Saccharomyces cerevisiae S288C: one gene and its partner. The main gene of each other region encodes a partner of the protein of the gene in region 2 in a complex. Each region holds a gene or a part of one and is shown on either strand. Other genes may lie near its edges.

Evidence for each region.
Region 1: RQC1 (region 2) and RKR1 share a complex: the UniProt entries of both Saccharomyces cerevisiae proteins name them as parts of the ribosome quality control complex.

What each region holds. Positions count from the first base shown.
Region 1 is NC_001145.3:762,651-769,897, reverse strand, and holds RKR1 (ubiquitin-protein ligase RKR1), read left to right. Parts: upstream 1-1,858; coding exon 1,859-6,547; downstream 6,548-7,247. Other genes in the region: YMR247W-A (uncharacterized protein), read right to left, coding at 472-615. UniProt on the Saccharomyces cerevisiae protein: E3 ubiquitin-protein ligase component of the ribosome quality control complex (RQC), a ribosome-associated complex that mediates ubiquitination and extraction of incompletely synthesized nascent chains for proteasomal degradation.
Region 2 is NC_001136.10:1,132,451-1,137,025, forward strand, and holds RQC1 (Rqc1p), read right to left. Parts: upstream 2,982-4,575; coding exon 810-2,981; downstream 1-809. Other genes in the region: IRC3 (double-stranded DNA-dependent ATPase), read left to right, coding at 1-620; chromatin-remodeling protein SWR1, read left to right, coding at 3,482-4,575. UniProt on the Saccharomyces cerevisiae protein: Component of the ribosome quality control complex (RQC), a ribosome-associated complex that mediates ubiquitination and extraction of incompletely synthesized nascent chains for proteasomal degradation.

The DNA of each region.
Region 1 (7,247 bases), on a different chromosome or scaffold from region 2:
GCCAAAGCTTGTACCGGTACCAAATTATGCGAATGTCAGTCAGTAACAATGTCAGACCCTACTATCAACCCAGATGTAGCTCAAGTGGAACCTACTGTTCTCTCAAGCTTTTTAATAGAAACGCTCATAGAATATCATAGAGAGTTCAATAATAGCGGTATCATAGTTTATCTGATAACGTGCAAACTGTCCTGATCATGAAGCGGAGTTGAATGACAGGGTGATGGAATTGATGGCTAGTTGCTTTCGTATGCCTCGGTATAGGCATGCTAATGACACCCTAGGGTGGCTATTAGTATGTTGCAATGCCGAGAGGAGGTTGAATAACAATACCATTACATCAGCCGATAATATAGTGCATTGTATCAGCAAAATTAAGCAGTCAATTTATTTTTTTATCATTTAATGGCGATGGTTGGATAATTGTCTAAGAACAGTATTGAGTATTGCAATAAACCACTAAGGTTAGCCTCACGGCCAAACTATGTTGGTATCACTGTTACTAACAAGGTGGTTGTGTACGTGAAGGCAGATTGGCCTCAGAAGGCTCTTACCATTAAATAACAAGGCCATTATTCCACTCAATAGCTTGGCACTTGCACATTTGTGTGCCATTTACACTGAATGATTCATCTTTTTGATATCATGCAATATAATAATACAGGTGATAGAATGCGAAAAGCACGGGAAATAGGTGACTTTTGAGATAGTTGTTGAATACCATTTCCATAACAATACAATTTGGACAACATTATCTTATACCGAATATACCTTAAGTTTTACTCGAAAATATAGGAATCCATAAAAGGATCGATGATTCTTCATAATAATATTATGGTTTCTCGTTCCACTTTATATGTTGTCACTCATTATCCTATTGCATTATCAAGTCGTGCGTTCCACCCCCATTAAATTTGATGGCAGCTTTTAAATCTTTACCTTTATGCCATATTTCTACGTCGTATATGTAATAAGATGGATGCTAGACTATAGGGGGTAGGTGGTTCCTCTTCCGACATGTAGAGAATGTGGATTTTGATGTAATTGTTGGGATTCCATTGTGATTAAGGCTATAATATTAGGTATGTAGATATACTAGAAGTTCTCCTCGAGGATTTAGGAATCCATAAAAGGGAATCTGCAATTCTACACAATTCTATAAATATTATTATCATCGTTTTATATGTTAATATTCATTGATCCTATTACATTATCAATCCTTGCGTTTCAGCTTCCACTAATTTAGATGACTATTTCTCATCATTTGCGTCATCTTCTAACACCGTATATGATAATATACTAGTAACGTAAATACTAGTTAGTAGATGATAGTTGATTTTTATTCCAACACGACAATCATGAGTAATTACTTGATAGTGGATAGTAAGTTTTGATAGACACTTCCATTTTAAACTGATTTCACTTTTTACAGTGGCTAGAAATTACAATAAGAAATGGGCGTGTGGCGTAGTCGGTAGCGCGCTCCCTTAGCATGGGAGAGGTCTCCGGTTCGATTCCGGACTCGTCCAAATTTTTTGCTACTTTGCAATTAGTGTAACTTCATATTTAAAATTATAGTTAATCAAGAACAGAATATCGTCACAATGCTCTTTAAATGTTACGTACTTCTTACCTCCAGCTTGACTATATACTTGTCAATTCGAGTTAACCCAGATTATGCCCCAACATGGAAAACTGAAAAATATTGATGAAGCGAGGAAAAAAAACGTCATAGGAAAAATTCAAATGTTGCAACTTCAGATGGTTTTCTTCAATATATACAATACTGAAGAAGTCCTTCTTAATAGTTCAAATCTGCTAAGCCATCAAAAAAAGTTCAAGCAATAGTTGGTTCTTAATGTCGTTTGGTGGAATCAATACATTTCAACAGTATAACACAGATTTAGGGCTCGGCCATAATGGTGTTAGAATATCCTTAAACTACTTTGATGGTTTGCCGGATCCAAGTCTTTTAAACTCCTTGTACTCGAACGAGCTGAAACTCATTTTCAAATCTCTTCTGAAAAGAGATGAAACTACAAAAGAAAAAGCTTTAATGGATCTTTCCAATTTGATCAGCGACTTTAACCAGAATGAGTACTTTTTCAATGACATTTTTCTTCTTTGTTGGTCGCAGATATATGCTAAACTGATAATTAGTGATTACAAGGTCATCAGACTGCAATCACATCAAATTACTATAATGCTTGTCAAAAGCCTTCGGAAGAAAATATCGAAGTTTTTAAAGGATTTTATACCTTTGATACTTCTCGGTACATGCGAACTCGATTATAGTGTTTCCAAACCTTCTCTTAATGAATTAACAGAGTGTTTCAACAAAGACCCAGCAAAAATTAACGCCTTATGGGCTGTTTTTCAAGAACAACTATTGAATTTAGTAAAGGAGATTGTTGTAAACGAGAATGAAGATACCATTTCTGATGAACGTTACTCCAGTAAAGAAGAATCTGAGTTTAGATACCACAGAGTTATAGCAAGTGCCGTATTGCTGCTGATTAAGCTTTTTGTTCATAACAAAGACGTCTCAGAACGTAATTCTTCCAGTCTTAAGGTGATTCTTTCTGATGAGTCAATCTGGAAACTACTTAACTTAAAAAATGGGCAAAATACAAATGCCTACGAAACAGTTCTTCGATTGATTGATGTTCTTTATACAAGAGGTTACATGCCTTCCCACAAAAATATAATGAAGTTAGCGGTGAAAAAACTATTGAAATCGTTGACTCATATTACGTCAAAGAATATTCTAAAAGTATGCCCTGTTCTCCCATCAATACTGAACCTTTTAGCTACCTTGGATGACTATGAAGATGGGACAATATGGTCATACGATAAATCTTCTAAAGAAAAAGTACTCAAATTTTTATCGGTTTCCCGTACTTCACCATCGCCAGGATTTTTCAATGCTGTGTTTGCATTGTACAGCTCGACTAAAAGACACAGTTTTCTTGATTATTATCTTGAATGGCTTCCATTTTGGCAAAAATCGGTGCAAAGACTGAATGAAAAGGGCTTTTCTGCGAGAAACAGCGCTGAGGTTCTTAATGAGTTTTGGACAAATTTTTTGAAGTTCGCTGAGGATTCATCAGAAGAAAGAGTGAAAAAAATGGTGGAAAGTGAGATTTTTAACTCTCTGTCTTGCGGGAAATCTTTATCTGAGTACACAAAACTGAACCAGACTCTTAGTGGCGTCTTTCCACCCGATAAATGGGAGAGAGAGATTGAAGATTACTTCACTTCAGACGAAGACATAAGAAAAATAAAGGTGAGCTTTGAGAAGAATCTTTTTGCTTTATTGGTTACTTCTCCTAATAACGAATCCGCAATTAGTCGTTTATTCGATTTTTTTGTGCAATTAATCGAAACAGATCCCTCAAATGTTTTCAACAAATACGACGGTGTATATGATGCTCTCAATTACTTTTTAGATTCAGATATGATTTTCTTGAATGGGAAGATAGGGAAATTTATAAACGAAATTCCAACGTTGGTCCAAGAATCAACATATCAAAACTTTGCTGGTATCATGGCACAGTACTCAAACTCCAAATTTTTCAAAATGAATACTGACGCGATTACTTCGTTGGAAGACTTTTTTATCGTTGCGCTTTCTTTTAACTTACCAAAGACAATAATTTTAGCCACAATGAATGAGTTGGACAATGATATTTATCAACAATTAATGAAATCAGATTCCCTAGAATTAGAATTGTACATTGAAGACTTTATGAAAAATTATAAGTTTGACGACAGTGGGGAAATATTTAAAGGTAATAATAAATTTTTAAATCAAAGGACTATCACCACACTTTACCGAAGCGCAGTTGCCAATGGCCAAGTTGAACAATTTTGTGCTGTTTTGTCTAAATTAGATGAAACTTTTTTTTCAACGTTATTGCTGAATACCGATTTTCTTTCTTGTGCATTGTATGAAGTTTCAGAAGACACTAATGAGAAACTATTCAAGTTGTCATTACAGTTGGCTAAAGGGAATTCTGAAATCGCTAATAAGTTGGCCCAAGTGATTTTGCAACATGCTCAGGTTTATTTCAGCCCCGGGGCAAAAGAAAAATATGTCACACACGCCGTGGAGCTAATTAATGGCTGCAACGATACTTCTCAGATTTTTTTTCCCGCTAACGCAATCGAAGTTTTTGCCAGATATATGCCAGCAATTGATTATAGGTCATCCTTAGTGAGCAGCTTAAGTACTAACACGCATTTGCTCCTTACAGATGATAAGCCTATCAATTTAAAAAATATGCAAAAGCTCATCAGGTATGCTCTATTCTTAGATGCCCTACTTGATGCTCTTCCAGAGCGCGTTAATAACCATATTGTTGCATTTATAACTGTAGTTTCTGAGCTCGTCACTGATTATAATTGCCTTTCAGAGGAACCAAATGATCTTTACTATGATTTTGGGCATACCTTTTTCAAACATGGCAAAGTAAATTTGAACTTTTCTGATATTGTTGGAAACGTTATTCAGCCTGCTAATGGTGGTGATGCTATGCTTACTTTTGATATTGCTGAAAGTAATTCTGTCTACTTTTTTTATTATTCAAGAGTATTATATAAGGTTCTATTGAACAGCATTGATACTGTTTCATCCACCACATTAAATGGGCTATTAGCATCGGTTGAAAGTTTTGTCACGAAAACTGTGAGGGATCAAAAATCTACTGATAAAGATTATCTCCTATGTGCTATATTACTATTGATGTTTAACAGGTCCAACTCAAAAGATGAGATAACGAAATTAAGGACATTGCTGGCATCTCAATTGATTGGGATTAGAGAAGTAGAACTTGTCGATCAAGAATTCAAGTCGTTAGCTCTTTTAAATAATCTGCTGGATATCCCACAGGCAGATAAACAGTTTGTTCCTATAGCACCGCAGAGACTGAACATGATATTCCGTTCAATACTAAAATGGTTGGATAGTGATCTTGCCTACGAGCCTAGCTTTAGCACCGTTAGATTGTTACTACTAGATTTTTTCACCAAACTGATGAGGTTTGAAGGAGTCAGAGATATGGGCATAACAGCTTTTGAACTTTCGGAAAGGTTGCTGGCAGACTCTCTATCGATGTGTCAAATTGATGACACTTTATATTTGTTAGAACTTCGCTCTTCCTGTTTGAACTTATATGAAACATTGTCGCAAGGCGTTTCCAAAAATGGCGAGGAAATCTCAGAATATGGTGATGAAATTCAAGAAAATTTGATTGAACTGATGTTTCTCAACTTTAATCAAGAAAGAAATAACCAAGTATCCACACTCTTCTACCAGAAATTGTACAAGGTCATTTCCTCAATGGAACTCAAAAAGTTAGAATCTCAATACAAAAGAATATTCGAGGTTGTATTGAATGATAAGGATATCGGTAGTAATATTAATCAATCAAGATTATTAACTACTTTGTTGGGTTCTTTGGTGGTAAAAACACAGCAGGATATTATAATTGAGTATGAACTGAGGATTCAAAAACAAACTGGCTCAGACGTAGATGGTAGTGCATCTGATAATGATGTAAACTCAAAATTTAAACTACCTCAAAAATTATTACAAAAAGTTACTGATGAGGTGCCAAAAGAATACCTTGAATACGAGAATAAAAATTCATTTATTAAATATCTATGGTATTGGCACTTGATACTGATGTACTTCAAAGATACGTCTTATAATATGAGACAAATATTTATTGAACAATTAAAGGAAGCTGGTTTAATCAATAGAATGTTTGATTTCATAACAGATCAAATAGATTTAAGAGATACTGAGTTTTGGAAACAGGTCGACACCAAGGAAATTTCGGAATACAACATTGTCGGCAATAATTTCTCTCCTTATAAAGAAGACATATTTGAAGAATGTAAAAAACTTTTGGGCCATACACTTTATCAGTTGTTTAACAACGTCGGTTGTCTAACGAGTATTTGGTGGTTAAATATAAAAGATAGGACATTACAAAATGATATTGAAAAGTTTGTCTCAGAGTTCATCTCCCCAATTTTGATCAAAAATGAATTTGACGATATCAATTCTAAGATGGACCGCCTGACTTCTAATGATGATGCTTTGACTATTAAATTAAATAATATTACTAATGAAGTGAAGGCAAGCTATTTGATTGACGACCAAAAGTTGGAGATTTCCTTCAAACTACCAAAAAACTACCCTTTAACAAATATCCAAGTTAATGGCGTCTCTAGAGTTGGTATAAGTGAACAAAAATGGAAACAATGGATAATGTCTACACAACATGTAATTACAGGCATGAATGGATCCGTTTTGGATTCGTTGGAGTTGTTTACTAAAAATGTGCACTTACAATTTTCTGGTTTCGAGGAATGTGCCATATGTTACTCTATACTACATGCCGTGGATAGGAAACTACCTTCGAAGACATGTCCGACTTGTAAAAATAAGTTCCACGGAGCATGTCTTTACAAGTGGTTTCGATCATCGGGTAACAATACATGTCCATTATGCCGTAGTGAAATTCCATTTAGAAGGTAGACTATCGCATATAAATTTCATATAAATGTACTACATTTTTTAAACAAAGTTCCTTTTATTATTGTGCTCTCTTACAAATTATACAATCCAGCCCTATACCTTGCCAATCCAGCCCATCACCCGGATATTCTGGAAATTTTTTCTCTTCAGGATTTTTTCAGGATAAAAATCGAACTTGAAAGAAGAATGGTTTTTAGTTCAGGCCTTGTTTTCAGTTTTTAGCTACTAAAAGAGGGATAACCATTGATGAAATTCTATTGAATGTCCCCAATTTTCGGAAAAGGACTGCACCGAAATATTTCAATCAAAATCATTTATCGTTTTGTTTAGCTATTTTTTTCTCAAATTATCACTCTTTTCTTCCTTTTTCATTCTCTCAATTGTTCTTTTTATTTGAGGAAATTTGATTGTATTGCATATACAACTATGCGATGCACTTTGTTCATTTTAACTTTGGATATATGTGCCTTGCTATGAACGCGTTCATTTTTAAGTGACCGGACCCTAAAATATTCAGGTAGCATGACGGAAGCTATGAATTAATCCTGGTGGAGGGGTGTGTTCAGTTTGAGGGAGGATGATAAAATGGAACGGAGATTGCAAGGAGACGTAGAAAATAAAGTAGGAGCAAATGGATTTTCTGCTTGGCGGTATAGCACGTTTGAGTTTTTCAGTCGTGTCTATGTTCAGGTTTATGATA
Region 2 (4,575 bases):
ATCCATCTGGCAAGGAGTTTGATGAAGCTTCTGAAGCTGTAAAAGAAATGGAGCTGTTGATGAACTCACAATATCCGTGGGTGAAATTTGCCTCAAATGCGTGGGGCCTCCCTTTAAAAGGTAAGAATCATTTGAGAATATACAAAGAAAAATCCGAAGACAAATTGTCGATGGTATATCATCTAAAAATGTATCGACAATTACCGTGTTTTATAACAAATAAATACGCGGACTATGTTCCAAAAAGTATAATAAAAGACGCTAATCTTTGGAATGTAATGTCAAAGGTGGAAAAAATCATAAATACTCTAAATTCGGACTTGGAAGGACAAACAATGCAATACCAGGCAATATCTAGTAAATACTCGAAATGGAGACAAACAGTTCCTACGTCAAAACAAAGAGACTTTGTTTTCAGAAAGCTAAAGAAAGTATATGGTGAGTCCTCAAAAGATTTTATTAGATTATCTTTGGATGATGTTACTACTTATGTAAATACTAAGATGACGAAAGGAGATGCTTCCAACTTAATCTTTGCCAGCAGTTTGGCACCTGTCTACCCGTTGAAATCATTGTTACGAATATTAGAATATCAAAAAAGAAGATCTTTTATAAAGTGAAATCCGTAGCTACATAAATGTGCATATATTAATATACAGTCACTAGTACATATGTAAACGTCGGACCACTCGTATATGCATTTTCTTTTGGATCACACCCTTTCTGAACTATGCAATGAATAACGTTAAATTCAAATAAGTGCTTTAGCCTTACTCTGCGTACTAGAAAATGAGCTGCAACATTTCTTATTAACCCTCATTTTCATTTGACTCTTCATTTTCATGAATGTACTGTTGCAAAGATATTTGTCTAATTTGATTCAACAGGTCCTCATCTTGCATTCTTTCTGCCTGAAGGACAGCTAAATCCTTTTCATTAATAAAGGTTTTGATGTTTTCAACCACTTCGATTGATTCTTTTGACGTAGGCATTGGTGGTAATACGTCAAACTCATATACTTCATTATCAGACCAGATAAATGATGGAATTGCAGCCATTACAGAAGACTCCTCAGATAGTATGGCGAATCTTAATAAGTTAATTGGGATTCCCGCAATAAAGAAAGGTGATTGCAAGTTGTTAATGTTATTGTGATCTTGCCCATCATTTGAATCGATTGTAACGTTTCCTCTATGGTAATCCTGTAAAATACTCGACATTTCATCATGCAAAAATGTTACCTCTTCGTTTCTATTCCAAAGTAACGGGAAGCGGGCCATATATGCCTTTAATTCCAAGTTTTCTGCCGAATGGCCATCAATGGATAAATCTTTAGTTAGCGCATGATCGCCCAAGAGTTTCTCCTTGAAAAGTTCTGACAGTTGTAAAGGATGATGCTTAAAGGCTTTTAGAAGCGCATTGCGGGCGGAACTCATCTCATTTATTCTTAGGAAGCTTAGTACTACCGCCAAGGAAAATCCTAAAGTATTCCACTGTTTATAACAGTTCATTAATGGAGAGTTGGATAATTCTATAATGTACTGATAGTCATTATTCAATAGAAAATAGTGATCGAGGAAATACCTGCATCCTAAAGGATCTTCCAATGGGCTCAGTGACCAGAGAACTTTTGTCCATTCACTAGCAGTTCCTATAACACCTCTTTGAGCAAGAGATTGGATGTATCTAAATATTGCCAAGTAAAACTGTCTGTTGAAGAAGTATATATAAGGTAGTTGACAATTCAAGGAATCGAAAATAATATTTGCTTTCAAAGCTCTATCAAAGACAAAGAGTGCTCTTTGTAACAATCCATTAGTGTTTGATCTATCACCTTGCCTAATAAATATCAAAGCAACTTGTAGCAGTCCAGGCACATGATACGGAAATTTAGAAGAAATCAAATTTATAAGGGCTTCATGATCAGGGTGAACAATAACACTTAAGTAGAAGTCCATCATTGATTTCTTGCTCAGGTCGGAATTTAAAGGTTCGAACTTATAAAAAGAAATGAATTTTTGCCACTGACTGACATCGTTTTGGATAACATCCTTCCAATCTAACGGCCTTTCCCATAATTGCCAATCTAAAAGATCATCAGAACTTAAAAGTTTCATAGAGAGCTCACCTCTTTGAGTTGGGATCCAATCATCTCTGATCTTGGTAAACTTCAAATGTTGCGGGTGCATTCCGGGGCCATTAGGTGCCAATCTATGATCTTTTCCGCCCCAGTTTCTAATTAATCTTTTCAGTCTCTGAATCTGTTTCAGCTGCTGAGGGGAGACAGGTGTGGATGTCATCGAATCAATATCTTCAAGAGACTCTGGAGATATATCGTCAAATAAAAGTTTGAATTCCGTATGGGGGTCCAATTTCTTGAAATCATTTTGAAAAAATTTGCAAGAATGCCTCAAACATGAAATGGGGAACTTTGTGAAGCCCGGATCACTTTCTAAGCTTAAAAATGACTTCCAAGGTTGGCTAGATGCTTCCTCTGGTTCAGATGCCGTGAAGAAACCTTCCTCATTAGTGTCATCATTTTTAGTCTTACCGTACTTCAATATATCAGTTTTTTTGAACTGTTGGATAATCTTGTCGAATTCTTCATCATCATCATCATCATCGGAACCCTTGTCTTTTGCAGCCTCGGCGGTATGGTTTTTTTGCTTCCTTTTTGCCTTTTTATTCTTTTTCCTTCTAGAAGACTTGGATGCTAGTGTAATTCTTTTAGGTTGACCATTACTTTGAGTATCACGCTCCCCAGCAGCAGCAGCTTCTTCATCCTGCTCAGACATTTGTCCTTCATCAGTGCTATTATCTGAATCACGTACGTTATTCATCATAGAGAAGATGTTCTCCCGTTTCTGAATATTACCGGCAGTACTTTTACCACTCGTCATTTTATTCGCATTTGAATTCGATAGCAGCGACTCTAGCAGAGCATTATCATCTTGTAATCTCCTTAATGCTCTAGAGCTCATGTTCGAGTACTTTACAAATATATTTAGATGATTCAACGACCTGTATGTTAACCTTCAACTGGTGGACTGTATGTACTACCTATGGACATTTTTCACTATACGTTGATGCAGTAGTGAACATATTGCTCGCATAATGTTACCCGTTTATACCTCTATACGATTATTAAGGGAGGGTAATACTTTCTCAATTTTTTTTTTTTCAGTTTTTAATATTATTTCCTTAAGATTTTTCGGTGGCGTTTCGCGACAACTTACGAGAAAAAAAAAAAAGAGGAGACTTGAAGAAAGAGTGCAAAGGGATAGCGGGATTCTAAAGTGTTTACGTGCAAAAAGGATAGATTTTGAGCTTTAAACTAGATAAGACCCAAAGCATTCGATTACTGCATTTGAGAGGTATTCAACAATACCATTTTAACTCTTAGAAAATATTTCCTTAAGCTGAAAATTTATGAATTCTAACTGCTCTTTGCATTTTCCAAGTTATTGCATTACAAGAATATATGACCACATCTCGTAAATCGCATGCGAAAGACAAAAAGGCTGGTGGTGAACAGGATCTGGCGGATTTGAAGTTTAGGTATGATCTTCTGACGAATGAACTGTTCCATTTAAGAGAGTTTGTTTCATTGGTAGATTATGATCCAACCCATTTTAATGATTCTGAAAGTTTTCAGAAGTTTCTCAGGGAAACACACTTGTCGTTAGAGGAGAGAGGAGAAAAATTCACTGATGACGTAGCCAAGAAAGGCACGAATGGTGATCTTACTCGCAGAAGGCGAAACCTCAGGACATCGACAGTTGTTAGTTCAGAAACGACTAATGAGAAAAAGGGTGATATAGAACTGAAGTTAGAAAGCATAGCACCATTAGTACGAAATAAATGTGAGGAGCTAAAATACAAACTAAGTGATCATTCAAATAGGAAATCTATAGTACCGCAAAAAAGACCAATACAACATTTGAAGAAGAGAGAAGCAGCGAAGTCCTTGAAGTTCAAAAGTGAAAGAAAGGAAAATCCACTGCCATTGCATGAACATATAGCTGAAGAGAGATATGATCACATCGCAAAAGTTGAAGAACCCTCTGAAGCCTTCACTATAAAGTGTCCTTCTGATGATAGCTCCTTTGAAAATACTAGTGAACATTATAGTGATAATTTTTATTTCACCACATCATCCGAAGAGGAAGATATAAAGAAAAAAAGAGGTAGAAAGAAAAAGAAGCCTAGAATAAAACTGGTAGTCCATCCTCCAAAGCAAACCATAACGAACCCGTTGCATGTAGTCAAGCCGGGATACGAAAGCTTGCACGAATACATCGCTTCCTTTAAGTCATTAGAAGACGATTTAACGCTGGAAGAATATAATAAATACATCGACGAACAAAGACGGCTTTTATCGAGACTCAAAAAAGGTATTGAAAATGGCGCATTGAAGTATGACAAAGAAACGGACTCACTACAACCTATAACATCCAAGGAAATCAAGACTATCATAACATATAAACCAGACCCGATTTCATATTTCTATAAACAACAAGATCTGCAAATCCATACCGATCACTTAATTAACCAAGGTATTCATATGAGTAAGCT